Rattus norvegicus: one gene and its partners. The protein of the gene in region 1 purifies or fractionates together with the protein of each later gene. This does not show direct contact. Links are inferred from orthologs where the notes say so. Each region holds a gene or a part of one and is shown in the gene's direction. Other genes may lie near its edges. The genes, in order: Napg, Stx12, Stx7 and Nsf.

Region 1 (7,852 bases):
CATCCTGCGGTCTCTATTGCATCAGCTTCATCCTCACAGATTTACACAGCACTGTCACGGACTGCCTGCTGGGGGCTGCCAGCCTCCTCAGAAATATGAGTGTCAGATTTTCTGAATCTGTGAACTACCACAGATCATCCTGCTCTTACATTTTTTTTTCCCTGCATGCATTTTGGCTACAGTTAGACAAAAGTAGCTAAGGTTTAACCCAAGAATTGATCCAGGAGTTGTTATGCAATTTCCCAGCAAAAATACATTCTGCATTAATCAATAGCGGATTTACAAATAATGTTTGGGGATTAGTCTTATCATCATTTGGAAGTTTCTTCCAATTGGACTGAGATTTTGGGAAGTTATTCTTGGCTTTGGTTGGAATAAAACCAATCCCATCCATCATGGTTTGTTATCTTTATGAGTATTAATTAACAAGTTGATAACAGCAACCTTCATTAAAGAATAATGCCTGAATCTCAGGGAGATTAATGTGGAGGCTTTCCTTTTGTAGACCATCTTGTCCAATACCTGCTCCACCATTCCAGCTCTGGGCTCGATTACGCACTGATTCCCTGCTCTTATTGGCCCTACCCACATGGGCTGATGGACAGTCCACTCTTCACTGCCACTAACTCTGTGTAATTGGTTCACCTTATTCTCTCACACTCTGTTTATACTCTTGTCAAGGTCAACTGTTCCTCCCGGTCCTCATTCACCATATGTCTCGTCACTCCCATCTGTCCCTTCCCTACACTTTTCCTTGAAGGAGTTTTTAGAACAGTGGCCTAATTCCCCTGGAGCAATCCCTGCCTTATTATTCTAAGAAGAGAATGAAGGGAGAACGTGGCGGGTATTAGTGTCCTCACGGCCGCCTCTTGCTTTTCAATGTGAATGGAAGTTATTATGTATTTAATAAAGTTTCCCTAACCAAGGGGTTATCTTTTCGAACAAATAGCACAAAGGTTGGTGTGGCTGTCATTCTCTTTTCCAATCCTTATTTACTGATGCTGAAATATAGGTAGGTGAATATTGTGCCCATCATAGGTCACGGACTCCACGAGGGCAAGCAAGCCGTACCTTGCTTAACAATTGTGTCCCAGGAAAACAAGACTAATATTTTGGGCAGAGTGAAGGAGAAATAAGTAATAACTTAAAAGTGTGCACAGGGGCTGGGGAGATGGCTTGGTGGTTAAGAGCATTGGCTGTTCATCCGGAGACTCCAAAGGCAGCTCACAGTTCTGGGCTCCATAGGCACTACATGTACATCACGGACAAACATACATGTAGGCAAAACACCCATATACATGAAATAATAAAAATAAACACTCTGTGATAAAAAGAGGGCAAAAGGAGGAGCATCAGGATCTGAGAGGTATGGCCTAACAGAACGTGTCAGCCAGCTTTCTATGTCTAACAAGATGTTCAGACTCTCAAAGAGCCTGGATTTCTTTCACAGCTTTGTGTGGGTTAAGTCTGCAGCCAAGTAGCCTCCTTTCCTTTGGGCCTATGGCAGTAAACTGTGGCAGGAGACCATGGTGGGAGCTCATTCAGTTCCTAGCCTGGAATGAAAGTGAGAGAAAGTATGGTTCCCACTGTTTTTTCTAGAGAGAGCCTGTCTTAGTTAGGGTTTTACTGCTAGGAGCAGACACCATGACCAAGGCAACTCTTGTAAGGACAACACTTAATTGGGACTGGCTTACTGGTTCAGTCCATTATCGTGAAAGCAGGAGCATGGCAATGTCTAGGCAGGCATGGTGCAGGAGGAGCTGAGAGTTCTACATATTGTTCCAAAGGCAAACAGAAGACTGGCTTCCAGGGAGCTAGGATGTGGGTCAAGGGCAGTTCTACATGAGGTGAGTTTTTTTTTCAGAGTAGAAGGAAAGATGGAGGGAAAGTCTGCAAAGAATGAGTTTATGATGACAGAGCACAGGACTTATCGAGGACAGAATAGTAAGTGTGAGAAGGGGCAGCGGATTGGCCAATAAGAAGAATCTGTCAAAGGCCAAGAGATACTAGATCGAGATAAGAAGCCAGAAACTAGGAAAGAGGGCTCCTAAAATCGGCACCACAGAGAACACACTAGTATTTGTAACTGAAGTCAAGGATACTTTCCTGGAAATGGGGTGGCTGTGCTCATTGGCCTCCTGTTACTGTTGGAAACATTCCAGATCATTTGTTTATGTGGGGAAGTATGTTTTCTTCATGGTTTCAGTCCATGGTGACTTCTCCCCTTTGCTTCTCAGCTTAGGAAGCAAGGCAGTACAACATGGTTGGAGCAAAGTGGCTCATCCCATGTCGGCCAAGAAGGGGAAGATGGAAGAGGGGCTGGGGTCCCTACATACCCTTCAAGGATAGAAACAGCCTGCGAGGACTTACTTATTTTCCTTCCACCAGGCCTCACTATCTAAGGGTTCTATCAGCTCTAATAGGTGTTGGTTTATAGACAATTCCACTAGGCGCCTCCTAGGAACCTAGCAACAGCAACCTAGCAACAGCTTACCTCATTACCTGCCACCATGTGTAAAAGAGGATTGCTGGTATCCCTAGCTCTCTCTCCATCTTCTAGTCTGCTTCCCCCTTCCCCCTCGCCCTACCTCTCCTCCCCCCTCTCTCCACACACACCCCCTCAATACCCCCCCCCCACCCCGTGATCCCAGCAGGTCTTTTCCTCCTTTCTTCTCTCTCTCTCTGTCCTTCTCTGTCCCTGGTCCCCTCACCTTCCGCCCTTTTCTGGCTCTACCACTTCTAGCTCTGTTACCAAGCCCAATAATCTTTTCTTTATACTAGGTTTGTCATATAGTGTGACTGATTGCTTAGTCTGCGCCCACCAAGATGCTCACTCCCGCCACAATTATTCCACTATGCCACCGTTTTACAAAACACGCTAGATGTTGGGCATCAAATCTACAGTGTGTGGCCCTTCAAGAGACACTTTTCAGACTCTCAGTATCTAAGGTGGGTGTAAGAAAAGATCATTACAGATGAAAAACTGAGAGGCCGCATAGGCGTGGCAGAAATCAATATGTAATCCCAAGACTCCCACTAAGTATCAGCAGAGCCGCCAAATCACCTCTGCTAGACTATTGCAAGGTCCCCTCCCCGTCGGTTTGAAATGCTAGACTTATTATTTGACAGTAACCAAGGATTACAGTCTGTTTTTATGACTGACTGATACATAACTAGAATCAGTTATAAAAGCTGTAATGGGTAGTGTACCAGCACTTGGAATATAAAACAGAAGAAGGAAATCATAAAAGATGAATGATGCGCAAGTACTATCATAGATGTAGTAAAGAGAAACTAATAAATTGCAAGGACAAATAGGCAAAGGTTCGACAGCATTTTCGCAGCGTGAAGACACAGGGCTCCTGAGAAGAACGCTTTCTTGTTTTCCAGGACTAGTAAAGACCAGTACTCGACTTCTATTAATTGCTCCTTAAATATTTGTAGGGTGCAGTAACCAACGCTCGAAAGAACGCACCCCTGTAATTAACCGACAACACCAGCTTGAGCACCTCCAGGTTAGCTCCGCATCACTGCGCTTGCGCGAGGCCTGGCCCCGCCCTCCTCGTCCCTTCGTCCCACCCATTTCCGGGCCAGCTTTGCCATAAGAAATTTGAGCTCTTCGCTTTCCGTAGGCCCCTTTCCCGGCTTCCTCCGCGGCGTTCCCACGCCGACGCTCTAGGTGTTTTGCTGAGCTCTAGGCTGTTTCACTCTTCGCGTCAGCAAGCGGCCGAGGCAATGGCAGCCCAGAAGATAAACGAGGGGCTGGAGCATCTAGCCAAGGCAGAGAAGTAGTACGTCGAGTCGCCGCCGGGCTGGTGAATCGCGCCCCTCAGCCGTGCGCTCGGGCTGGTCGGGAGGGAGGGTCATGTTGCTGTCCGTGCTCGGGGCGGTGCCTTGCCTTTTGGGTCAATCCCCTGCAGTCGATCGTGCCAGCCTGCGCCGCGTCATTTGCTGCAGACGCCCCTGTGACAGCCACGTCTGCCCGGCGCCAGGTCCTCAGGGTTTGCGGCTGCTCTGCTCGTTGCGGGCTTTGGCGTGGACACCTTGTCTCATCTTATAACATCCAGAATGACACTATGGAGGAAATCTTGCGGTGGAGAGCTACTGCTAGGAAAGAGACCCTGGTGCAGTGCGGGGGTGTAGACTAATTCTGAAAAACTCTCACTGTCAGACATCCTATTCACTGGGGGCAAGGTCTAAGCTTCCTTAGTCTTGTGGGTGTTCGCCACCTTTTGGTTCCGGGCTCAGTAGGCATACGTACTGGAAACTGCGAGTTCTCCTTAGTCCTCTCGCCCACTTTCGTGAATTACAACATACATATTTAACGATTATCGACTGTAAGACATTTCTTAGTACACTGTTAGGTGAATCATAAACTAAGATCTTAACTAATAGAAAGGCCTCAGTTTACAAAAGAGGAACCGAGGCGGTCTGAAATTTCCTGGAGACCTGTCCAAGGCTGCTCAGCTGAAAAGAGCAGGGCAAGTTTTAGGCAGTGGAAATTCACAAGCCCTTTCTGGTATACCACCTTGCCTCCAGGCAGTGACTAGGAAGGTGGCTGTCAGTGCAGAGGGTGATCCCAAGAACATGCATGGTAAAAACAAACATAAAAGAACAGAACATGTGCTCTTAGCTATAATGAAGTTGCATTTTGTGAACTTCAGGAGGATTTTGACCATCGGAGCTAAGGAAACCTTAGGAGCCAGGATTAGCATCCTTTCGTAATGGCTTTGACAAGTCCTCTAGGCAGTTGTATGTGGAGTTGAGAACTAGACCCCTAGGCATCTCTGTTGGGAGAAGACCTGTAAGAGAGGCCTTCTGTTAAGACAGGATTATAGATGAGTGGGCTTGCTTGTGGCTGCAATGGGGTCTGAAGGGTGCTTGAAGTTGCTGTAGGTAGGAGAGCCAGCAGGTGGTAGGACGAATGGATCAGAAGTGTAGGAGAGGCAGTGGAATTGGTCTCTGTTTTCTTATGGTGGTATCACTCATTATCACTGTATTCTGGCTTAGGAAAGTTTTCTTACTTAGGATGAAACCAGTCAAGGTCCACAACAGATTAGCCATCAACCTAATGTTAATCGGGCCTTCATTTTTGCTAATTAATGGTGCTCAGCTGCCTGGAGTTGATCTGCAGTTTTAAAAATCTAGCTCATTGAATGTTATGTCTTGTTTTGGGGAGACATCCATAATCACAATAAAGGGTATAATGGGTTCTTTGGTGAAGGGGCACAGGACTTTATTTTGCTGCATATTTTTCTCAATTTTGTAGATTAGACATTATATGTAATTGAAAATCTGCATATACATTTAAATCTTGTTACTATATATGCATATGTTAAATGAAAACTGTAGAATACATTTTACAGGGATAAGTAACTTCAGAGTTAGACTCACAGAATGAAGGGTGCACTTCTAAGGGCCCCATCTCTCAGCTTAGTAGCCACTGATGCAAATGAAGTTAGCAGTGTTGAAAGTAAGCAGACTTTCAGTAATTGAGCTGAAATTTATAAGATGGTGTTGAGCAATTTTTATGCATAGCCAAATTTAATACCTACTGAATTAGCTTGAACTGTGAGTTTGATTTTATTTTAAAATAAAAGTAAAATATTGCAGACAAGGCAAGAAAGATAAACATCATTGGGTATCTTTTGCTCTGGCTTCTAAGCCAGCATCAGTTCTGGAAGACTGTTTCTGTTTGTTGTCCTAACACATGACTTCTCTTTCTCCCTCCTGTTCAGTGGTGGTTGACCACACCCTTTATTTTCCCTCTGAGTGTTGTTCCGGTAGTCCCTGTAGTCTCCTCAGGAGATGCTGCCTGTGACCTTGGCATCACAGACACCAATGGCTCTTTAGTTGTATTCTCCCTGATAGCGTCTCAGCCGCAAAGGAAGATGTCCCTCCAGATCCTCTAGCTTGTTAAAGCACACCTTATGTGGCTTGTTAAGACCCAAGAGTCTGGTTCTGTAGATCTGGGGAGGGCTCATCGTACATTTCTAGCAAATTTCTAAGCAGTTGTTGATGTTCTGATCTGGGCACCGTGCACTTAAACGTTCTGTTTGGATGGTATGTAGACATTTCAGAAGAAGGGACATTGTTAATGGGGAGGGGAGGGAGGAAGAAGTGAGGGTGCATTTATTGGGAATACATCCGAAGACAATTGAGAAGGTGAGGGATCTGTAGCTGATGCTGTCTTTTTAAATAAGAAATGTCTTTCTTTCTCATTCTAGCCTGAAAACTGGTTTTTTGAAGTGGAAGCCAGATTACGACAGCGCTGCCTCTGAGTATGGAAAAGCAGGTATTTGTGCCTGGAGCCCTGTGCCGTTGTGTGTGTTGACTGGATCTGACAACGTTGTCTAGCTAGCAGTTCCAATGCCTCCCGGTAAACTTCACTCTTTAAACAGAAAAGCAGACGAGGACAGCTGCACAGGCTGCTTTGCATGTTCCCACACTTACCCTCAGCTAGAGCTGAGCCAGATCCCGGTGCACGCTCCTAACAGCAGACATGGGGTAGTGTCAGCTGTCCGGTGTCATAGGTGTTCATAAATGTTGCTTAGTTCTGTCTTAGACTTTCTGCTGTTGATCAAGCAATTTTATTTTTAATTTTTAAAACTAGTCTTGTTGAAGTTCTACCAATCTCTTTTTTCCACATTAACATTTATGAGTTTCATTTTGAGATACACTATCAAATGTTCATGAAGAGTTTTAAGCTGTATGCACATTTTAGTAAATTCACTTTCTATAAGTATAAAATATCTTAAAATACGCAACATAGGGAATTTGTTAAAAGTTTAGTATTTTGTTAAGGGATGATGCGATAGCTCTGAATGTCTGCTGTCGTTTTGGATATAAAGTAATAAAACATAATTTTGAGGCTGGCGAGGTAGCTTAAGTGAAGGAACTTGCTGCCAGTTGCCAGGCCGACCATCAAGCCGAGCCCCTGAGTTTGATGCCCTGGATCTTCACGGTAGACGGAGGGATCTGACCTCTACAGCTTGTGTCTGACCTCCCTGTGCATGCACAATAAAAATTTAAACCACCATGGATTTGAAAGTCCTCAAGCAAATTTTCATCTGTGACTATGTTCATGAGAGATCACCTAGAGCAAGCACTTTTCACTAAATTTTAGTTTCAGTTTGTCTCCAAAGAAATAACCTAGAAGCTACCATCATCATACACACAGAGGGTTTTTTCTCATTCAAAAGGGAAACCAGAGTCTTTAGCCCTGCATTTAAATACTGAGTAAACTTGTTGCTTACATTATGCAAATTGCTTATGTTTTGTATTTAAAGATAAATTTGCTTAAAATTGAGCTTTAGGTGGACTTTGGGTTATACTTTATACACAGTTGCTTAAGACCAAAGGCACATTTCTCAAGTGAAGGAAATTTAACAGCTTTGCTTTGTGGCTCCAGGGCCATATGCTGCTTCCATGAATCAATCTCCTGAATCACGTGTCCTGTTAAAGTGCCCTTCGTTTGTTCTCCTTGAGTGGAGGCAGAATATAGCCCTTCGATGGAACTTTTAAAGACAACTAGACAGGCAGGAGCAGGAATATTGTAGTATTCTGTTTGTTTTCTACACTTTAAGAGTTCTTCGAGAGTGGTTTTAAGAAGTAGTAGATGAGAACACTTTATGTAGAAGGGAGACTGAGGCCGGAGCATCTGCTCAAGTCAGAGGTCAGAGGTCAGTCTGTGCTGCGTAGTTGAGTTCCCAGCCAGTGAGGGCTGCAGGTACGGTGGAGACCCTGTCTCAGAATGACAAACAAACAGAAGACAACAGTTTCCTTAAATTAGTATGCGTCCTACTTTCTCATAACCCACCGTTGGTAGATTTTCCCAGTGTTAACATTGTCT
Region 2 (7,323 bases), on another chromosome or scaffold:
TAGTATTTGTTGGCTGGGCAGTGGAGGCACATGGCTTTAATCCCAGCATTTGGGAGGCATAGGTAGGTGGATTTCTATGACTTTTGGAGGCCAGCCAGGACTGCACAGAGAAACCCTGTCTTGAAAAACCATTAAAAAAGAAGAGACTGAGGAGGAGAATGGAGAGGAAGAGCAGGAGGAGAAGAAGAATACAGTATTTAAGTCAGATGCGTAGCCCAGAGCGGGTTCTCGGTTTATAGTTAAGTAGTTAAATAAGTAGTGTTGTGAAGGTAACTATAAGTTATAAGTTTTTTTTTAAGTTCTTGAAATTTTTTAAAATTCAAAAAAAAACTATAAAGGAAAATAATGGTAATCTTCAGGAAAACTAATAACTTAGTATAGAAAAGTAGTTTTAATATTTTCCCCCCCCAAAAAAACTAGACGCTCTGAGCTCAAAGGCCTCCACTATGCATTTAGATTCTCCAGGGCCCAGATATTCCAAATTGCACTTCCATTTCAGTGTCGTGTAAACGTCACCTGGTTCCCACGCTCACCTGTATGTTCTTACGTGGGTTAACTGGGGATTTGACTCAGGAAGGAACAACTTAGGATTTAAGGAAAAGCCCGTTTTGTAATGACTTTTGTACCTCGAAATCTCTTAAGTATATAATTGTGCTTTTAATCAATATTAAACCAAATGAATCTGAGTTCTCTTGAGATTTAAACTTCTTGCTTACTGTCTTCAGCGCCAACAGAAGCTTCAGAAGGAGCGGCTCATGAATGACTTCTCGTCGGCCTTGAACAATTTCCAGGTTGTGCAGAGAAAGGTATCTGAGAAGGAGAAAGAAAGCATCGCGAGAGCGAGGGCTGGATCCCGTCTTTCTGTAAGTTGACTCCCCAGAGAGGCTTTTACCAGCCCAGAGGGTGCACCCAACACGTCCCCTTTCTCCACCAGAGAGGCTTTTACCAGCCCAGAGGGTGCACCCAACACGTCCCCTTTCTCCACCAGATAACATGCTTTATGTTCTCGGTCCAACTGAAAGGCAGATTTACTTCCTACCTTTGTTTTTTCATTGTTTTTAAAAGATTTATTTATTTATTGTGTATGGAGTTCTGCCTGCATGTACACTTGCAAGCCAGAAGAGGGCATCAGATCCCATTACAGATGGTTGTGAGCCACCATGTGGTTGCTGGGATTTGAACTCAGGACCTCTGGAAGAGCAGTCAGCACTCTTAACCGCTGAGCCATCTCTCCAGCCCCACTTTCTCCTATTTTATACTTGTTTCTTACTCAAGACAGATCGACAGAGTGTTATCCATCTTACAGATGCCATCAGAGTGGAGGGTTGTCACTCCTTAGTACTGAAGCTAAGGCAGCTCTTGTTTTGTGCATCTCTCATGTTTTTTGGATAACAGCCCGATAACCGTCTGTTTTCTAGGCAGAAGACAGGCAAAGAGAAGAGCAGCTCGTCTCATTTGACAGGTAAAAGTCACTCTTGCAGTCTGCTGGATAGTCACTGTGAATCCATACCTTTGTGTCCATGGAGGTTTTTCTGTATGGAGGTTTTGCTTGCGTGTAAGTCTGTATACCGTGTGTATGCCTGGTGCCCACAAGGGCCAGAAGAGACCTTTGGATCCCTTGAAACTGGAGTTCCAGAGAGTTGTGAGCTACCATGTAGGTGCTAGGAATCAAACCTGGTCCTTTGTAAGAGCAACCAGTGCTGTCTGTTGATCCATCTCTCCAGTCTCTCTGTGACAATTTTACTTAAAAATGAAAAAAAAAAAAATCAGGGCTGGTCGTAGTGGCATATTCCTTTAATCCCAGCACTTGATAAGCAGAGGCAAGTGGATCTCTGTGAATTCAAGGCTGGCGTGGTTTACATAGTGAGTTCTAGGACAGCGAGAGCCACAGTGAGAACCTATCTTGAGAAAAGAAAAAAGAAAAAGAGCATAAGTAAGTAAGAGGAGGAGTTGAGCCAGGCACGGTAAAGCATGCAGATGACTCAGTGGTTGAGAATACTGGCTGCTTCTGCAGAGCAGCGGGTTCAGTTCCCAGTACTCATACGGTGGCTCACATTAGTTCAGTAAATAGTACATTTTCCTTCTAAGTGCACTCACAACCATCTAAAACTCCAGTCAAGGGGTCCAAAGCTCTCTCTGGCCTTTGTAGGCACCAGGCTTCCACATGGTGCACAGCATTACCTGAAAAGAAATCAAGTTGCACACGTTCCATTAGCTTTTAGTTTGCTTTTCTCTTAAGTGGAGTCGATCCCAAATCACAGCCCCAAGGGATTCCTGTGCGCCAGATGTGGCTCTGACAGATGAGTCCGTGAAAGCTGTGTGGTGGCTTAGAGTATTTTCCTCCATTTAGTGCCCCTGGCACCAGCCCTGCTTACACTTGGAGAGTTTCCTGCAGAGCTGGGTCTGTGCAGTTAATTCATCACGTTAAACCTCTGGATACTTTCCTTGTCTAGCAAGACTGCAAAGAAGAAGGAAAAGAAAACCCTAAGTGGAAAAGACCAGGCCCACAGGGATGGTATTGGTAGCAGAAGAGTTGGGTCCTGAGCAGCATTTACCTAGGCTCTGCTGTTAGCAGAAATGTAGCTATGTCTCCTCACGGTAGAGAGAAGGAATCAACCGAGTGCTTGTCTCCCCGTAGCCATGAGGAGTGGAACCAGATGCAGAGCCAGGAGGAAGAGGCGGCCATCACTGAGCAAGACCTGGAACTTATTAAAGAGAGGGAAACGGCGATTCAGCAGCTGGAGGTGAGAGCAGGCTATGGCGTTGGTTTGGCTCAGGTGTCTGCAGGTATTAGGGGATTTTTTTCCCCCAGACTAATATGGAAAGGGTTGGATTGAGTCTTTGTGTGTTTTACATTATCTATCAATTTAGTTTTGGCAAAATTCAACTACTGCTCAGTCTCGTTGGCCTGGGCACTCAAAAGCGCCCAGATTCTTTTTTTTTTTTTTCTTTTTCTTTTTTCTTTTTTTCGGAGCTGGGGACCAAACCCAGGGCCTTGCGCTTGCTAGGCAAGCGCTCTACCACTGAGCTAAATCCCCAACCCCTGAACTTTAAAATTTTTAAAATTTAGTTTGTTTTGTATTTTTAAGTTTATGAGTGCTCCTGGGGATCAGACGAAGGGGTCAGGTTCCTTGGAACTGGAGTTCTGGGTGGCTGTAGGCTGCCATGTGTACGCTGGCAACTGAACCGGGGTCCTCTGCAAGATCAGCGAGGGCTCCTAGGTGCCGAGCCACTCTCCAGCCTCCTAAAGGGAGCGATTACTGGGGGCTGCTTACAGTTTAGACAGGCAGGCATGGCATGAGGCAGAGAGAGAAACCCGGCCTGGCTTGGGCTTTCGGAACCTCCTCTAACAAGTGCCCACCTCCCTATCCTTCCTGCATGGCCCACCTCTGGGCAATACTTATTCAGACCACACCTCCTGGGGCAATACTTACTCAGACCACACCTCCTGGGGGAATACTTACTCAGACCACACCTCCTGGGGCAATACTTACTCAGACCACACCTCCTGGGGCAATACTTATTCAGACCACACCATCTGAGCACACCTTTAACAGGTGCCAGAGCACTGTTCTTCCACTTGACTTGTGTCAGGCCTTGGCTTATTACCTAGGAAAGTAAAAACCTGAACATGGAGAATCTTCCCTCCATTACTCCTGGAGATAATACTGTGCGGCTGAGCCCACCACGCTGGGAAGTTCGGAACTTTTTCCTGCACAACGGATGTCCTTTCACTCTCCCAATTGTTCCCCAGCCTCGGAGCTATTTGTCAGCTGGAAGCTGTTTACAGGCTGTCATCCAAGTGACACAGACCCGGTAGTTCCTCACACAGACCGAGTCTGTCCTGGGAAGCCATCTCCTTGACAGTTTGTTTGTCTTCCATTGTGTTCCCCAGGCAGCACAGTCCTATAGAAGCCATTTAAATTCTCTAGTCATAAGTCGTAGTCGTCACTGATATTTGCTCTTCCTAGAGCTGCCCTACTGAGCACATGTCCACCACAGGACTCCAGCTTCCGTTGGGTACGGCTCAGGCTAAAATGACTTGACCCGTTCCCAGGAAACATGAGCAGTTAACACAGCTCAATGAGTGGGTCTCCTGACTTTTGTTCTACAGTGTTAGGTAAGCAGCAGTAGATAGTTTCCTATTCATGGAGAAACTTTAAAGACAGGTGATTGTTAATCTTTAGGGAAGGGAAGGAAAGAAATTTCTAACATGTTGCTTAATGTGAGCTAATTTTTTTTTTCTAAATCTCCCTTAGGCTGACATTTTGGATGTCAATCAGATCTTTAAAGACTTAGCTATGATGATCCACGACCAAGGTGATCTGATTGGTACGTACTATAATCCATCTAGCCTTAGGGTGAGTACAAAGAGCTCAGCAAGATGGGTCGTTATGAACTTACTTTAGAAATATCTTTGTTTTAATATCTGAATTCACTTTCTTATGCAGTCAACTGTTGAGGCTAAAGAGGGTGCTTTGTGTTAAGCCCTGCTCACTTTTAGAGCCTGCAAGTCTGTTAGAGCAAGAGCTGTCGGCACCCCAGCTTTGAGCTGCAAAATAAAAAAAAAAAGTACAAGGAATCTTTTATATATCCCTGCGCAGAATTTTCCTAGTTAATAACATTTTTGCCCCATTTACTTTGCGATGTATTCTATCTGTATGTGTAGATACACAAGCATGTGACCTGGACGACCCCCCCACCCCTGGTCTTTTTTTTTCTTGAACCCTATATAGGTGAATTACATAATTAGTAACTCCTTGCTATTAAATGTCAGTATTTATTTCTGAGGAATAGTGCTGTTCTTTATCATGTTAGAAACGTGTAGCTGGGAATGGTAATGAGGCCTGTAACCTCCGTACTCCTGTAGAGACATGAGGTCAGGAATTCAGGCCAGCCTCAGCCACATGGCATGCTGTTGAGGACGTTGAGGCTGTCTTAGACTACATGAGACGCTATCGAAAAAAATTAAATGCGAGCTGGAGAGATGGCTCAGTGGTTAAGAGCACTGACTGCTCTTCCAGAGGTCCTGAGTTCAAATCCCAGCAACCACATGGTGGCTCACAACCATCTGTAGTGGGATCTGAAGCCCTCTTATGGTGTGTCTGAAGATGGCTACAGTGTACTCATAACATAAATAAATAAATCTTTAAAAAAATAAAATGAAAAGAAGTAAATTTTCGTTCTCATGCTGGCTAGTCTGGATGGTAATGGTGACTCTAAGGCCTGAGCCATCAGATCTGCTCAGAGGGGCTGGATAATGGCACAGCAGCTAAGAACAGCGGCTGCTCCTCCAGAAGACTTTGATTCTCAGCACCTACACGCCAGCTCACAACCATTTGTACCTCAAGTTGAAGGGATCCAACACCTTCCAGGCATGTACATGGTATACAGACATACATGCAGGCACAACACCCATAGGCTTTAAATAAAAAGGAAGAAAATGTGCTTGTTTGTCTCAGTATTGAAATACCTGAATTGCTGAAATCTCATTGCATCTTTTACAGATAGCATAGAAGCCAATGTGGAAAGCTCAGAGGTGCATGTGGAAAGAGCCTCTGATCAGCTACAGAGAGCTGCTTACTATCAGGTAAATGCCAATGTCAGAGTCACTCTGTGCTCAGACTCAGTGACCCTCCAGGCTGTGCTCACACAGTGCTGCAGCTGCAGTCTTTTGCCTGAGTTTAAGCTGGAGACCGGCAGTCATAATTTGCAGCTCCAGTCCCATTTTTAGTATTTATCTTTGCAACCAGATATCCAACACCATCAAATCCTGAATTCTATACAGAAGCTGTGTGGCTGTAAAGCTAATGTCAGGAGCCAGCGTGATGCGTAAAACTTTGTATCCTGTTGGGGATTTGGCTCAGTGGTAGAGTGCTTGCCTAGCAAGCGCAAGGCCCTGGGTTCGGTCCCCAGCTCCGAAAAAAAAAAAGAAAACTTTGTATCCTAAATAAATGGAGGGGCTGTCAGGAGAGCTGCAGTAAAGGCCGAGCTACAGAGACAGGAGACACCACGTGGACTGCTAGCTCAGCAGGGTGCCTTAGAGCCAGCTGTGCACACAGCTCAGTGTAGGCTTTAATCATCATGAAGCTGTGCCCAGGAGGTGATTTTTATAGTTTTATGGCTTTTATGAGTCTTTTTTGTTCTGTTTTTTTGAGACAGGGCCTCACTGTGTAGTCCTGGCCGGCTTGGACTTCACACTTTGTAGAGCAGGCTGGCTTGGAACTCACAGATTCTCCTGCCTCTGCCTCCTATGTGCTGGGATTAAAGGCGTGTGGCATAAGACCCTACTCTTCTTCCAGTCTATAATCCAGGTTTTAGATACTAAAAATGATGTCCTCATTTGATGTTGCATGGCTTTTTAGAAGTAGCTAGCATTTTAGTCATTTTCTGTATTCCCAGGGTAGCTGTATTTTACCTGGGAATACGCTTGAGGAAGTTGAGTTTCATAACGGTGTTCTTGAAAAACTGATGATTTTAGAAGATTATATCTTCCCAGCATTGTAGTCTGTGGGGACTAAAAGATGTTAATGAGCTTATGGCAGGAAAGGAGAGCTCGTGTTAAGCGCTAACAAGACGAACACACAGTATGATCCAGTCATTCCCAACAGGAATGCGCCCAGGTGAGAGAGTAGGCGGAGCCTGGCCTGCAGGCATGGGTCTTGAACCCAGCATTCAGGAGGCCAAGATAGTGATCACTCTGGATTAAGCTCACCTGGACTAGAGAGAGAGTACTCCAGGCCAGCCATGACTACACAGCGAGACCTTATCTCAACAAACAAACAAACAAACAAGACAGCAGAAAGAAATAGAATCTTATGCTAACAGTCATATCTATAGGTGATTATTTTCTTTCTACTGCTCATATATTTTATAATGAGCATACAATCTGTGATAGGTGTGAAGTAGGTTATTAAAATACACACCCAAGGGCCTCGGGAGAAGGCTCAGTGGTTAGAGCAAGCACTAGCCCTGGAATCCAACTTGGTTGTGGCAGCTGCTTGTAATCCAGCCATGGAGGAGCGGACTGGCTAGTGTGAGGCGGGTCACAGCAGATGTCACGTAGGACCAAGGCACAGCTCCTCTGCAAAACTGTATTTGGGAACAGTGACACTTGCAGCACTACTGAGAACGGGCAACTTGAGAATTTTGAGAAGATGTTTGCATCTTTGTGGGTGGTAAGAGTTAATTATAAGGGCTGGAGAGATGGCTCAGTGGTTAAGAGCACCGACTGCTCTTCCAGAGGTCCTGAGTTCAATTCCCAGCAACCACATGGTGGCTCCCAACCATCTGTAATGAGATCTGATGCCCTCTTCTGGTGTG
Region 3 (7,934 bases), on another chromosome or scaffold:
GAATTCCTTTGGGATCCATTTGCTCTCTGAGCCTCTAAGCTTAGCAGAGTATTATACTTAATTTTTCTCTTTGAAGTAAAATGACTAGGAAAGAATCCAATTATTATGGTTTAAAAAAATGGCAACTTGGGGCAAGCTCAAAATTTGGAATTCCCAGCTTTTGTCCCTGTATAGCCAGTGACTAGTAGGGCAACTCAGAGGTCTTTGAGTCTCAGTGTCCTCTCTATGGACCTGTATTGTATCCTTCCTTCTACCCAGTCCAGGATTCTAGCAAAAGTAATAGGGAAGGGCGGATGGAAAGCATGTTAGATATCAGTTCCATTTCACAAATCCTCTCTTTGGCTCTCCATACCCAGTTGTTGTACAAGTCTTCTTGAATATTTGTCACCTTAACCTCACCTCTTCTCTGTCTTATTTACTTTAGTGCAGCCCTTCAACATCTCCAGTCTTGATGAAGTTCTTTAGCGAGGTCCGCTACTGTTGCATGGTGGGCGTGGTATTGTTACATGGTGGGCGTGGTATTGTTACATTATGGGCGTGGTATTGTTACATTATGGGCGTGGTATTGTTACATTTTTGGCATGCTACTGTTACATTTTAAGCATACTATTGTTACATTATAAGCATACTATTGTTACATGATTGCCTTTCTTCTCTGTAGTATTTCCCTTTAATTTTCCTTACTTCTCCCAGACTTTCCTTTGTGGCAGGAAGTGAACAGCACTTCTTACCTTTCATCAAAATCTTGTAGTAGCTCAACCCCCACCACTCACTTAACGTGAGACAGGAGCAATTTGCTTTAAGGATCTCGTTTGCATTCCTAGCATCTTGACTTTTTAAAAAATATGTATTTATTATATATAAGTACACTGTATCTGTCTTCAGACACTCCAGAACATCAGATCTCATTATAGATGGTCTTCAGCCACCATGTGGTTGCTGGGATTTGAACTCGGGTCCTCTGGAAGTCAATGCTCTTAACCACTGAGCCATCTCTCCAGCCCTTGTCTTTTGAGTCCATGCACGATGCTTCATCCGAATAAAGTAAACATTTACACGTATTATACACACTAAAGTCAACATGCCCACTCCTTCCTTGGCAGAAAGGTCCCTTTCCATGTTGTCTTCCAATAAAACTTTATATAACTTTCCAAAATTTTTGTTCCTGTTTTCACTTCAAAATTTATTGCTGGCACTACAGTAAGGCACTCATCTTTTGCGTTAGCGCCGTGCTCTGTATAAATCTCATCACAGTGTGTGCTCTCCCGGAAAGAGCACCACTGCCAGCTAGGAAACCACCGGACTCTACTCAACCATGAAGTCTGTACTACAAGGCCTAATAGTCGCTGCATTACAGACTCTTAGCAGTTAGCAGCTGTCTGGATTCGGTGGCACGAAGGACTTCAGAGTTTTGGGCAGGACACTCAAGCCTTTGCTATTCTTTTTTTTTTTTTTTCTTTTTTTTCTTTTTTTTCGGAGCTGGGGACAGAACCCAGGGCCTTGCGCTTGCTAGGCAAGCGCTCTACCACTGAGCTAAATCCCCAACCCAGCCTTTGCTATTCTTAATTATGTATGGGGCCTGGAAGTGTTTTGTGTTTCAGGTTCCTGAATCTGTATTATGAGGAAACAACTAGACTTTCTAAAAAGACTCTGTAGCTTTAACAGCTAACATGACTTTTTATTGCAGAGGTTTTTGCCTTGTGATTTTTAAAAATATAACAAGTTTGACAAAAGGATTGATTTCAAAGAAAAACCTGAATTTCCTCTGTATCTTAGGAAACATATAATGTCACTATGATGGGCTAATATTTCTATAAGTTCACAGTGGAGACGACAGGTAGAACTCAGGGGTGGATCAACTACCTGAAATGTGAGGCCTTGGGTTTGATCCCTAGTACCTCCAAACAGAACCACAAACAACCTGGGACAGGCCTGTACTCTGAACGATGAGGAAAGAGGGTTGCAAGTTCAAGGCCTACCTGGGCTACACAGTGAGTTCAAGGTTAGTCTGGGCAACCTATAGAGACTTTGTTTCAAAACCAAAAACCTCTGGTGATACAGGACACAGGGAAGGCATGGGCTTCTCATGGTCAATGACCTTGGTTCAGTTTCCAGTGCCGGAAAAAAGCAGCAAAACCCTACAGTTCACAATGGCTCTAGCTGTATCACATCACACTTTAAATGGACGCACATCCTTTGACCAGTGTGCTTAGTCCACTGTGGATCCTACTTGGAAGATGCGGTGTTTGAGTCAGACTTAAATCACCGATGTATGCTTGCATGTGTAAAACCAACCAACGTACAGTTTGCTCTGCGGTTCTGACTCACAATAGTCTGGAACTACCACCACTACCACCCCACCCCCACCCCCTACCCCCACCCCCAGCCTCCACCTGAATTCGACTGCACTTTTGGTATCATGCGTTTTCATATTCTTTCCAGAAATAACACTGTCTTAATTACAGGCAAAGGCCAAGGCAAGATCGTCTAATTAATTTGGAAAAGTATTTCTTTTACCTGAACCACTGATGTTTCTCATCTGAGAGTCACATGTTTAAAGAGTTATTGTTGGAACAGTCTGTGCTCTTAAAGCCTGGGAAAACCGCATCCTGTATTTCAAGGACGAAAGACCCATCATGAGCCAAGAAACACCCTTACCAAGTGGGCATCGGGAGGTGAGTCTTCATTTATTCTTTGCGTGGGCTTAGCTAGGATTGCCTTGACATTTTTGCAGTGACATTTTAAAATGGAGTTGTCAAGTCTGCCACAGAGCTGAGGGTTAGGAAACAGGACCTTCAGGAGCTGAGGGTGCACCCTCAATCCAGGAAGGATGGCGCCACCGAATAAAGAACGCAGCTCTCCTCTATTGGATTTCTTCCTCTTTTCTTGCATGTAGACATCACTTTGTCACCCATCAAAGCTTGGTTCCCTAGGAATTTTGCCAGTCCCTCCAAGCTTCAGCTGTCACTGGCCAATGGGAGAGACGCGAGCCCCGCCTCCTTCTTCCTGGGGCTTTGGCCCTGCGCATGCGCATTGGGAGTGCTTGCGCCACCGCCCATTCGCTGAGACTGGCTGCGCAGGGCCGTGGGCCCTCGGTGACAGCAGCTGGAGGTGACAGAGGAAGCCAACGAGGTCAGGGTAAGAGGAGACTGCAGAGGCGGGGGCGCGGAAGGGACACTCCAGAACCACTGCTCGCCGGTGGTTGGTTTGGGGTGCGCAGAGCGGGGCTCCCTAGGGCGCAGGGCCAGCGCCTTCCTCTCGGGCTCCCACGCCCCGAGGCGGACTCGGGAACGAGCACCCAAGCGCGCGGCAATGGAGCCTCGGGGACCTGACCTGCCGCCAGATCCTGGCAGGCAACAACCGTGTTTTCATTTTCTGTCAACTTCCCCTCCAGAAAGACAGAAAGGGAAACGCGATGGGCCCTGGTCATCCGGCCACAGGTTCGTTCTGTGGCCCAGAGCATTTGCTTGCTTGGCTGTTGGCCCTACTCACACAAGCTAACTTTCTCTGACCTACCTTGTGCACGTCTTTAATTGATTTACCCACCAAGACCCTTAACAAAGTATTTTGAGAATTCCCATATGTGTTTTGTAGGTTAAATTCAGACAAAAGAGAGAGGGGGAGAGGGAGAGGGAGGGGGAGGAGAAAAGAAGAAAGAATGAGAGAGAAAAAATGTTGGGAGAGGATGCTTTATAGTCAAATGGTAATTTTTTCCTTATAGTTTTTAAAAATTATGCTTGAATTTTATATGCATATATTATTTTTGGTTGCTTTAGATCTCGTATTCTGTTAGGAATTATTATTTACAAGTTTTCCACAATCAGGAAAAAAAAGGAAGTAACTGTGGAACACTGGTTTGGTCCGGTTGAAGGTAGGCATTCCTTTAGGTGTACCTGAGCTGTGCTGTGCAGAGATTGATAAAACTGTTAAATTGTATCGAGGTGGGGATGGGCCTTCGGATTTGCAAGCTGCTTTGGAAGTTGGCCCTGGGCTTGTGACTTGCTAAGAATAAGGCTGTAGTTTCCCAGCGTCTGGGGAAGTTAATATAACACAGTATTAACTCATTGACCTCTGGGTGCTTTCCCTTCAGCGAGCTCACTTTTTATGCTGCTCCCGATTAGCAGTCATTTCTAATTCTGATTAGGATCCCAAATGCATCCATATGGTGCTGGTGGAAAATTTTGAATAATGTTGAACTATATGCCACTAAATGGTGTGTGCACAAAACCCTGGTTCAGTCCCCAGTACTGCAAGGTAATATTTCTGCAGTGTCTGATAGTCCTACTAGGTAAAACTCCCACCCTTTAGTCTGAGTGAATTTTGCTCTGGTTCAGTGTAACTCGAAATATTAATGTGTGAAACTGGAGAAAAAGAATGCTTGGTGAATTAACTGAAAGCAGACAGTGTAGCACAATGGTTGGATCCATGAAGGAGCTGGGTGAAGACGCACTTGAGTAGTTCGTGGATGAATCCTCATCTGAGAGTTGGAGCACCCTCGTGTTCATTGATTGGGTCCTATGACTCCTCTCCTGCTTGTGTCAGGACTTGAGAACAAAGTGTGAGTGGTCCAACCTCCTGAGGATGATGCATGGCTCGAAGTAGAAGTTACACTGACAGAGCCGTAGTGGAGACTGCTCATTTCAGATCCGGCGTCTCTGGTGTGTGATAACACCTTGCAGGGAGAAAGAACTAGGTGGGCGGGTGTCATGGGAAGGGTCATCTAGAGACAGAAAAGGGACACCAGAAAAGCCCAGGTGGCAATAAACCTGAAACAGTGTTTTAGAAATGTTAATATTTACTCTCAGGCTGGGCATGTGTTCTTGGGATATGGGTACACTTGTTGATTCACACTTCAGACACTTATTCAAGACCAAGTACTAGGGACTAGACTTTGTCCAAGATTTATACTCCCCGTACAGCACTCACCACACACACACACACAAATACAAACCCAGGGGAGTAAAGGGGGAGGAAGCTCATAGTTTTATGCTGGTACTCATGATTTAAAAAGCGAAACTGGCCATTCGATTTCAACAGGCTACATTTCAGGCCAGTTCTCTGCTCAGCGGAAGCCTTTAAGAGTCTACGATGGTATGTCCAGGAGTAACTCCGGGGTAGTGTTTTACATTCAAGAATCTATAACGAAATCCCCTTCGCTTGTTTTTAGATTGTACTTTCGACACGATCTTGAGACAGCCCTTACCGTGGGTGTTACAGTTTGGCCCCCGCCTCTCCTCTTTCACCTCAGTGTTTGTATATCTTCATAAAAAGATAATTACTGAGAAGTTGAGTTGAACGCTGGCCAATTGAGCTTTCTGCGGGGAGAGAAGTGAATATGTGAGCTGTTCCAGCCACTGGCTACTGGCCCCATCTAGTTTCCAAGCACTTGAAAGGTAGCCTGGGTGGCTTTCATCTACCTTAATTCACTTTAACAGTGCCTGTCAGTAGCAGCTGGTCTGCAGGAAGTGCAGGTGCGCGGTGAAGAGCTACATAATTATTTTGAGCGAAAGGAATTCCAAATAGGTTTTCAACACAGAATAATTTTGGGCATTGCAGCTCAGGCTACGTCCTGCAGATGGTTATAGAGCACAGGCACTTTACAAACACAGAATCAATCAGCTCACTTGGAAAAATAGACCTCAGAGTCATCTATCGATAATTATTCATGAATTTATATGTTTATTTTTTTTTCCAGCAAAGTTAGCCATTGTCCCACTTAACTTGTCTTACATCTAAAGAGCCAACTTGTCTCTTTTAAAATGTCACCATAGCCGAACAGGACAGAAAGGGAGAGTACTGCTCAGTGGTGTTACCACCGTCCAAGTTTGTTTCCTTGTTGTAAAGAAACTACCCCCGGGCCGCAGAAACGTGTCAAGCGTGGTCGTGTAGTTGACCTGGTCCACCTGTGCTAAGTTGTTCTACAGAAAGCACTAGGGTTTAGTCTAGCGTTTGCGACAATATGAGCTCCCAGATTTACTGTGAGAGTTTAAGTCTTTTGCTCATCTCAGCGATGCCTCTGTTTCTTTGTAAAAAAAAAAAAAAAAAAACCAAACCAAAACAAAAACTACAAGAGTAGTTATGCCTACTACAGAGGCTTTCGAGATTGAGAGAAACAATCATAAAAGGCACCATGTGCAGGAAATAATTCAGCCCTTTCTCCGATTCCTGATCCCTCATCACTCAAGACAGGACCGTGGTGGTCATCTCCTTACCCTTTCTCTGGTCAGTTACGCACAGATGAGGAGGGGAAGCCCTTAGAGTGAGTGAAGCCCACTTTTCTCACCACCAGCCACGTTCTCCAGTTTGCTTGACTACAGGGAATAGAACAGCAGGTTGTGATTGTGACTGTCTGACTTAAATTATGGAAAGGAAAAAAATCCCTTTAAAAGAAAACACTGACAAAGTTTGCACTGTATGCGTGTGAATTTTGCGAGGTAAGAGAAAGCTGGAAGGCTTTGCAGGAATGAACCGGATCCTGACATTAGTCTCTCTGTGTGTGGGGAGTGTAGGTTTCAGGGGAGTTTGTGGCCATATGCCTCTGATGAGAGCCCCATAGGTGCAGGAGCACATCAGACCTGTCCTCTGTGTATAGGAGAAAAGCACTTGCTCCCATTATCTTATTTTGATCCTGGCAGGAGGCCCAGATGCTAAGTATCTCGCCCAAGGTAGAGCTTTTCTGGTTGCCACTTATCCTAGCAACTGAACAAGCAGGTGATGAGTGCTAGTAACTTCAAAGAATGGGGGGCAGAGGGGGGAGAGAGAGAGAGAGAGAGAGAGAGAGAGAGAGAGAGAGAGAGAGAGAGACTGAGACTGAATATTAAAGGTGCCTTCTGTAGGTAGGGATGTGAGACTTATTTGTACCCATGGTTACAGGAAGGAGTTATTCACAGGGTGTCTATGTTGACTGTAAACCAAGGGTCTTTTTGGAAGCTTGACTGACTGACAGAAAGATGCCCCTGAGCTGACAGAAATTGTCTTTATCCATTAAGAACAATATTATATGTCAATAAAAGGCATTGAGGTACTCACACAGCTCCTACAAGGATCTTGAAAATACATGGAGAAGAAACAAGTCAGTCACAGAGAAAACACACACACACACACACACACACACACACACACACACACACATATCATGATCCCACTCATGTGAAACATCCAAAATAGAAAACCATTCAGGTGGATTAATGGTTCCAATGGCTGAAAGGTTGGGGACAAACAAAAGATGAAAAATGATGGGAAGGAACTTTCTTCTCGGAGTAATATGCATTATAAAAGTCACACCATTGTCACAGACCTTTGTTAACACATTAAAGACCATCGAATCATATGACTTGAATGGCTGCAGTTGTATGGTATATGAATTGTATTTTAAAAATATCTTTATTACGATATAATTCACAGGATGGGGCTAGCAAGAAGGCTCAGCAGGTAAGGGTCCTTGTTGCTCAGCCTGATGACCTGAGGTTATCTCCAGGACGCACATGGTGGGAGGGGAGAACCAGCTCTTAAAGTTGTTCTTTGATCTTGACACACTCACAGTAGCATGTGTACACACACACACACTGAATGCTCAAATATTTAAAGATACAGTTGGTTCGTAGTCTGCATACAGTGTCGTCAGGGTAATTGGCTCTCCAGGCCTCAGCTGATCTTGAACTCGAGGTCCTTGTGCTTTAGTGACTCCCGTGCTGGGGTTGCAGGTATAGAACACCACACCTAGATTTTTCCTGGGAGGGAGTTTATTCCTGCTACACTGTCATTGGGGGCCCAGCTTTAGTTAACTCTTTGACTTGGCTTTTAATTAAGTTGGTTGACTCTGTATCCTCGACCTGGTGCGTGTAGATCGAGGAGTGCAAGTGGAGGAGATCCTAGAGCTCCCGAGACTGTCTGCTGTCCAGGCATAACAGAGCCAGCTGTCCCAGCTCAGCTGC
Region 4 (7,323 bases), on another chromosome or scaffold:
GTCATTCTCAGTTTCCATCTCGATTCTCCTTCCTTCTCTCCCACAAAAACCTTGTCCCTGCCTTATTTTTTTACTGTCTAATCATGACCTTGACCTAACTGGTGCCAGCCCACACCTGCATATTGACATCAACCTACAGAGGAGGAGAAGGAAAAGAGGTTGTCACAGAAGCCTTCTATGCCTCTCATTCTCACCTGTGAGGCTGCAGTCATTGACACCAATGAAAAGAAGCTTTCTTACCCTTTATAGTCAGCAGCAGCAAGGATCATAGACTTCCACATGGTTTCTGGCTACAGCACAGACCACAGAAATCCCAATGGCCTTTGGTGGTAACATGGTCCATGGGCATCAACACATCACCCAGCAGTAGCAGCAGCAGGAGCAAGGCCATCAACATGGCCTCGTGTAGCAGCACAGGCCACACGTAGAAACATGGCCTTCAGTGATGACACAAACCATGGGCATCAACATGGCCCCTAGCAGGGGCACAGACCACGGACGTGAACAGGGATACAGATGACCACGCAGACCACGGTCATTCCCACAGCTTTCAACGGTAGTGTGAACCATGGACGTCAACATTGCCCTTGGCTGCAGTACGGTCTATGGACACCATCATGGCTCTTGGCAGAGGCACAGGCCACAGACATCCACATGGGCTCCAGCAGCAACACCGACCACAGATACTTACATAGCCTGTGATGGCGGCATGAGTCACAGACATCCTATGGCTTCAGAGGGCAGCACAAACCACGGGTGTCCCCACGGACTTCAGTGGTGCCACAGCTGCCCATGTCGCTTCCATACCCTTTGTCACTGAGTCTATGGTTTAGCTGTCCTCCCCTGCACACGGGGCTCTGCTCCACCATTTTTCCTCCCAGTTTCATGAGTCCACCTCCCCTGCTGCCTGGTCTGCCCTCAGAGCCTCCGTGGGTCTCTCAGGCTCTCCAGAGGGACTCCAGTCCCATCACAGCCCCCCTTCAGGCTTTCATCCTCGGTGGTGAGAACGTGCTCCCCGATCCGGTTCCGCAGCACTGGCTCCTCCACATGCTCCAGCAGCTCGGCTCGTAGATAGAGAAGCTGTTGGTGTGGACTGACTTGAAGCTGGATCTGGGTCAGGGCGGCAGCTGAGTTGGTCAAGCTGTGAGCAGGGCTCTTCCTGTGCAGTGGGTCTTCAAGTTCCCAGGACTCACTTGGTGAAAGGAGAGACCCAACGCCCACAAGTTGTCCTCTGACCTCCACATGTGAACCCTGGCTCTCAGACATATGTACATACACACACCATAAATAACTGTAAAATTAAAATAGAAATATTGTCATATTAATAGCATTTACCTTTGGTAAGACTACATCCCTTAATTTAATTTACTATTTGGGTTTGTGTGCATGTATGTGTGTGGAGATCGGGGGACTGATCTTTTTGGGAGCCACCTTCTATCATAGATTCCAGGGATCTAACTCAGGTCCCCAGGCTTGATCTATTTATATCCCTAAACCTCCCTTTTAAAGTTGCGTATGTATGCACGTGTGTATTTGTGTGTGTAAAAGTATCTGAATGACTGTGGATATGTGTGGACTATGACGTGTGTGTGTGTGTGTGTGGAAGTTAAAGGGAAATCTGTGGGAATCAGTTCTTATACTCTGTGAGTCCTGGGTATTGAACTCAGGTCATTGGGCTTGGTGGCAAGTGGCTTTACCCGCTGAGCCAATTCAGTGGCCCATTTCACCTCTTTGAAAGATCATATTGTTATAGGTCAGGTGTGCTTGCACACATCTTTTTTTTTTTTTTTTCTTTTCTTTTTTCGGAGCTGGGGACCGAACCCAGGGCCTTGCGTTTGCTAGGCAAGCACTCTACCACTGAGCTAAATCCCCAACCCCACACACATCTTTTATCCCAGTGTTCAGGTCTGTTTCAGGCCAGCCAAGGCTACATAGAAAAGCTGTCTCAAACAACGTGCACACACACACACACACTCACACACACACACATTCACACCTCACATGCACACACACACACACACACACACACACACACACACTCAGAGATTAGTGAATTCTAACCTAATCCTTAGGTTCGCCATGTTCATCACTTAATTTGTATTATTTACATATTTTCCTAATTAGGTTATGTTCAATCTCTTCTGTTTTATTATTCCTTGTTTCGTCTTTGTGTTAAACATAGAAAGTAAAAGAATCATGATCGACATCAATTAAGTCTATATTTCACGACAGTAGAGAGGACTTTGATCATCCCCCAAGTGAAGAACTGTTGCATGTTTGACGCGTCAGTTACCTTATCTGATTGTCACATGCTATGGGCACACATTGCAATGTTACTGCACCCCATAGTAACCATGTGGTTATGGTCTCAGGTTCTCTAGCTCATTCCCTCTGCTCCCTCATGGGAAGCATAATTACTAAATATAAATTGCTAAGAAGCCCGTGTGAACTTACTGAATTATTAGCTGTCCTGCAATTCTGATATCTTTGAGAGGGCAACATCCACGATTTGATTTCCACTCATCTACATTTATTAATCAAAATGCAGCAAAGCCAACCTGTCGAGTGCTTCGTTCTGCATTTCTCGGTTAGTTTGTTTATTGATGTGTCCAGGTTGTGATTTCTAACCGGATCTCCTTGCCTCCTAGCTCGGTGCCAACAGCGGCCTGCACATCATCATCTTTGATGAAATCGACGCCATCTGCAAGCAGAGAGGGAGCATGGCCGGCAGCACCGGGGTGCACGACACTGTGGTCAACCAGCTGCTGTCCAAGATCGATGGCGTCGAGCAGCTGAACAACATCCTCGTTATTGGTATGTCTGAAGTAAAGGATGCACCTCGACGATGCAGGCTTGCCTGCAGCTGGGCCTCGGGGCCAAGCTGCTTTCTCCCACAATGTTTTTACCGTTGCACATTCTGAGCTGCTGCATTAGGATGCTTTTTAAAAAGGAAAACGTTACCGTTACCGCTTCTTGTGGACATCAAAATTGCTACATACAGAAGAGGGGAGGCCGGGAGCTGGGAAGACCCTTCCGCTCTCTTTCAGCCATGTATTTGCTGCTTAAGTTTGCTTTTTAAATAGAGATTTCACTGCAAACTCGTTCCTTGTTTCCTACTAGGTAAAATACACATGCCGTTCTTAGTTCAGTGCTGCTGCTTTGTGTTTGACTTTTGTAATAAGTCCTTAATGAGGTCGCTGTGTTTTGCAGAGAGTGGAAGTATGTTTTAATCTCACTTTTGAACTCTGATCATTTATTTGCTCACCGCTCTTAATATCTGCATTCAGGAATGACCAATCGACCAGATTTGATTGATGAGGCTCTCCTTCGACCTGGAAGACTGGAAGTTAAGATGGAGATAGGTAAGTAAACTAGGTCTCAGATTGCATACATGTGCATGTGCGTACAGACTTGTGTGTACATTTTCGTGTGTGCTTGCACCGGTGCTTATGTGCCTATGTGTCCATGCACACGTGTTTTCGCATGTGGCTTTATTGATGAGAGCAACCTCATATTCAGTAATGTTCACTGCCAGCTGTCTACAGCTGGACCACCTCGAAGGAAAGCTCTGGGACTGTGACCTCCAAAGGACTCCAAAGACTAGGGAAATGTCTGCTTCTGTCTCACCAGGCTTACCAGATGAGAAGGGCCGACTGCAGATCCTTCACATCCACACAGCAAGGATGCGAGGGCACCAGCTACTGTCTGCGGATGTGGACATCAAGGAACTGGCTGTGGAGACTAAGAATTTCAGTGGCGCCGAGCTGGAGGGCCTGGTGCGAGCAGCGCAGTCCACAGCCATGAACAGACACATAAAGGTCAGGAAACTCAATGGACAGACAGACAAGAACACATGGCCTGTGTGGGCCATGCCCCCCGTTCTTTACCACATATGCCAGGGAGAGTAAGCTGGCTTTTGATGGTGAGGAGGGGGAATGTCTCCTCAGGGTGACCACCAGCTTACTTGCCTTTGGTCGCTACCGCCTGGCAGGTGTGGTTTTGAAGATTGTTGTTTTTGACTTTTGCATGGCCTTAACTTACAAGAAGCTGAGTCTTTCTCATCATGCAGCAAATACTGGATAGCTGCTACTAGTTTTGGGCTAGACATGAAGATGAATCGACCTTTTCCCTCAAGGGATTCAGAGTCAGGAAAATGGACTAGTACAAAGTGTTGGGGGGATGGGGCTCTGATTTTCTTGTTTATCTGTCTTTGTGCCACTGAGGACTAAACTCACAGCCTTAATGCATGTTTTGCAAGTACTCTACCACTGGGCTACAGACCTATCCATTTTGACTATTTTTTATATTGGGCTTACTAATTTGCACAACAGGCCTTGAACTTGCTATGTATTGCAGGTAAGCTTTGAGCTGGTAATGCTCCTGCCTCAGATTCCTGTGTAGCTGGAGCCATCATGCTTGGCTTAGTACAATCATATAATATGTATTATGGTAAGAATACTTTCGAGAGGCCTTTGATTTGGATCGGTGAAGTTTGGTGCAGGTGCTTCTCATGCTGCACTTGTCCCTATAATTCTGTAGCTGCAGACTTCCATCTCATCCCTGACAGTGCCAGTCTTCTAACTTTCTGACTCATATATAGTAATTCTACTTGGGTGTTTTCTCAGAACCCAAATTTAAGATCCAACAAACCACCTCCTCTCTTGCTCCTTTTTCTTTTATGCCAGCCTCTCATGTTAAGATTTCAGAGTCATCTCTGCCGCATACCTCTGTGTCCTATGTCAGGTCCCAGAGCAGTGCTTTTCTACTGTCATGGCTGCCACCTACCTCCTGTGCACTAACTATCCTTTGCTTAAACCTTTCCTGATTCTCCCTTTCATAACACTGTGCTGTCTTCCTTCCTGAAGTAGTCACACAGCGTGTGGGAAACCTCTGGCTGACTTTGACTCCAGAAAGCTTATCAGGCCAGTGTGGTGCTCACTGTGGATAAAGGTACATTGTTGCTGTGAAATTATAAAAATTGTTGTCTTTTACCCCGCACTAGGTCCAGCACTGCAGTGCCCCAAGATATCTGGTAGATATCTTCATTTTAGTCAGCAAAGCATCTCACCCGCTCTGCTCCAGCCCATATCACACTGCTGATGGCTTCTCTCTGAGCCTGGCAGCAGTCTCTCTACCCATCTAGTTCCCAAGGCAGGTTGCCACCATGCCAGAAACACACATCCCAATTCCGTGGAGGCCTAGTGTCTCTGGCCACCACATACTCTCTTAAACTTAAATCACCACATAAAAAAACAGAACACAATAACCCCTGATCCAATTGATAAGATATAATTGCCCACCTAAACATACAAAGCCCTGTACACATGCATCCCTTAAGAACATTCATAACAACCTGTAAATGTGCAGAGAGGAATCTTAACATCAACCTCCATGTTCTCTCTGAGACTTCTCCTCTTCCAGTCTCTTCCTCTCTAAAACTTTTCTCCCAACCATTCTTCCTCCTCATTCAGTGACAGGCCTCGTTCTGTCTTGTAGCTGCCTTCACCTGTATGACATCCTGCAGTACATAGTGTGCAAGCCTTATGACCTGAGTTGATCACCAGACCCATGTGAAGGCAGAAGGTGAAAACCAACTCCACAAAATCCATATGCACTGTCACACATGCCGCCCTCCCCATCACACACACACTAACAAATAATAAATTCTGAAACAATATAAAAACACCAAGCAGTGGTGGCACATAACTTTAATCCCAGCAATTGAGAAGCAGAGACAGACAGAGGCATCTTCCAGAGGTTGTGAGTAGCTCTCAGCGTGTAAAAGGGACATCATCAGAGGCACAGGGACACAGACAGAGGTGGGCTAGAGTAACTTCACATTGCTTCACTGTGGACATTAGAGGTGCGGTGCTAGAGAGGCAGTGTTGGGGAAAGCCAGGAGACCAAAGCTGAGGGTGAGCGCAGAGCTTTTTATTCTCTGCGGAGAAGTGCACTCTTTCCTGTGAGAGGTGTTAAACCCTCGGGGAGTTTTGAGAATAGTAGTGACATAGTGTTAAACAGAAGATCTCTCTGGCAGCTGTGCTAAGTGAGTGTGGGGTTGGTGACACGGGACAAGACAAGGGGGACGTTTCTGACAGATCAGGCAGGAAGTAACAGCCTGGGGTTGAGCATGTCTTCATTATTTGGGGGCTTCCTGTCATTGGTTCTAGACTATACTTGATCAGACCCAGCCAACCACTAGTTCTTCTGGCTAAGTTAAAGTTGTTCATTTACCACTGTGCGAGTGAGAGAGGGAGAGGTTTGGAGTGTACACACGCGTCAGGGCACTTGTGTGAGGTCAAAGGGCAACCTTGCAGAAATTGGTTTTCTTCCACCTTCGTGTGGGCTCAAGGAGTCTTATAGTCCCCAGGCCTCACGTCATGCACCTTTACCGGAGCCATCAGCCCAAGAGGTGGATCCCTAATCAAACTCGCCATGTTCCGAATTTCCCTACATAGCTGCTATAACTCTTTTAGCCCATTTTCCCCAAAGGTTTTCTAAACAGTAAAGATAAGAAGAGAATATAGTTAGTGTTGGACCCTGGGTAAGATGAGTCCATTCATCTATGAAGGACCTGTTTGATTTTCTTTTTTTTCCATTTTCCTTCCTTGACATAAACAGTGTTAATAAGGGGCCAGTGAGACGACTCAGTTGGTAAAGGTGCTTGCGGCCAAGCCTAACATTCTGAGTTCTACCCCAGGGCTCACCTGGTAGAAGGAAAGAAAGAATTCTTCTAAGTTGTCCTGTGACCTCCACATGCACATATTATCAGGAATGCCCCAACCCACATATACAACATCCTGCTCACAGACACGCACACAAACACACATTTTTAAATATTATTTATTTAATGTGTATGAGAACACTGTAGCTGTCTTCAGACACCAGAAGAGGGCATCGGATCCCATTACAGATGGCTGTGAGCCACCATGTGGTTGCTGGGAATTGAACTCAGGACCTCTGGAAGAGCAGTCAGTGTTCTTAACCTCTGAGCCACTTCTTCAGCCCCAACACACAACATTTTTATTGTTATTATTAGAAATAGAGTTTTTCCGTGCAGCTCTAGCTCTCCTGGAACTCACTCTAGACTAGGCTGGCCTCTAACTCAGAGATCTACCTGCCTCCCCCTCCCTGGAATTGGAGGCATGTGCCACTGCCACCCAGCATACGAATAATAAATTTAAGAAATAGGATTTAAAAGTTGGTTAGAGGGCTGGAGAGATGGCCTCTTCTGGTGTGTCTAAAGACAGCTACTTACATATAATAAATAAATAAGTCTTTTTTAAAAAAGTTTTTCTTTTAAAAGTTGGTTAGAACTTTAAA

The links.
Region 2: the proteins of Napg (region 1) and Stx12 purify together in Homo sapiens (affinity purification with mass spectrometry; 3 studies listed by BioGRID and IntAct, counting the BioPlex papers as one, with this or other methods). This does not show direct contact. The link is inferred for Rattus norvegicus from reciprocal best matches to the Homo sapiens genes NAPG and STX12.
Region 3: the proteins of Napg (region 1) and Stx7 purify together in Homo sapiens (affinity purification with mass spectrometry; 3 studies listed by BioGRID and IntAct, counting the BioPlex papers as one, with this or other methods). This does not show direct contact. The link is inferred for Rattus norvegicus from reciprocal best matches to the Homo sapiens genes NAPG and STX7.
Region 4: the proteins of Napg (region 1) and Nsf purify together in Homo sapiens (affinity purification with mass spectrometry; 3 studies listed by BioGRID and IntAct, with this or other methods). This does not show direct contact. The link is inferred for Rattus norvegicus from reciprocal best matches to the Homo sapiens genes NAPG and NSF.

Annotation. Positions count from the first base shown.
Region 1 is NC_086036.1:58,707,074-58,714,925, forward strand, and holds the start of Napg (gamma-soluble NSF attachment protein), read left to right. Parts: upstream 1-3,628; 5' UTR 3,629-3,735; coding exon 3,736-3,791; intron 3,792-6,227; coding exon 6,228-6,295; intron 6,296-7,852. UniProt on the Homo sapiens protein: Required for vesicular transport between the endoplasmic reticulum and the Golgi apparatus.
Region 2 is NC_086023.1:150,349,858-150,357,180, reverse strand, and holds part of Stx12 (syntaxin-12), read left to right. Parts: intron 1-725; coding exon 726-863; intron 864-1,418; coding exon 1,419-1,462; intron 1,463-2,638; coding exon 2,639-2,744; intron 2,745-4,259; coding exon 4,260-4,332; intron 4,333-5,507; coding exon 5,508-5,590; coding exon of another isoform or gene 5,591-5,734; exon of another isoform or gene 5,735-7,323. UniProt on the Homo sapiens protein: SNARE promoting fusion of transport vesicles with target membranes. Together with SNARE STX6, promotes movement of vesicles from endosomes to the cell membrane, and may therefore function in the endocytic recycling pathway.
Region 3 is NC_086019.1:23,051,633-23,059,566, reverse strand, and holds the start of Stx7 (syntaxin-7), read left to right. Parts: upstream 1-3,101; 5' UTR 3,102-3,132; exon of another isoform or gene 3,133-3,138; intron 3,139-3,394; exon of another isoform or gene 3,395-3,440; intron 3,441-7,934. UniProt on the Homo sapiens protein: May be involved in protein trafficking from the plasma membrane to the early endosome (EE) as well as in homotypic fusion of endocytic organelles. Mediates the endocytic trafficking from early endosomes to late endosomes and lysosomes.
Region 4 is NC_086028.1:89,271,263-89,278,585, reverse strand, and holds part of Nsf (vesicle-fusing ATPase), read left to right. Parts: intron 1-2,648; coding exon 2,649-2,814; intron 2,815-3,287; coding exon 3,288-3,362; intron 3,363-3,630; coding exon 3,631-3,818; intron 3,819-7,323.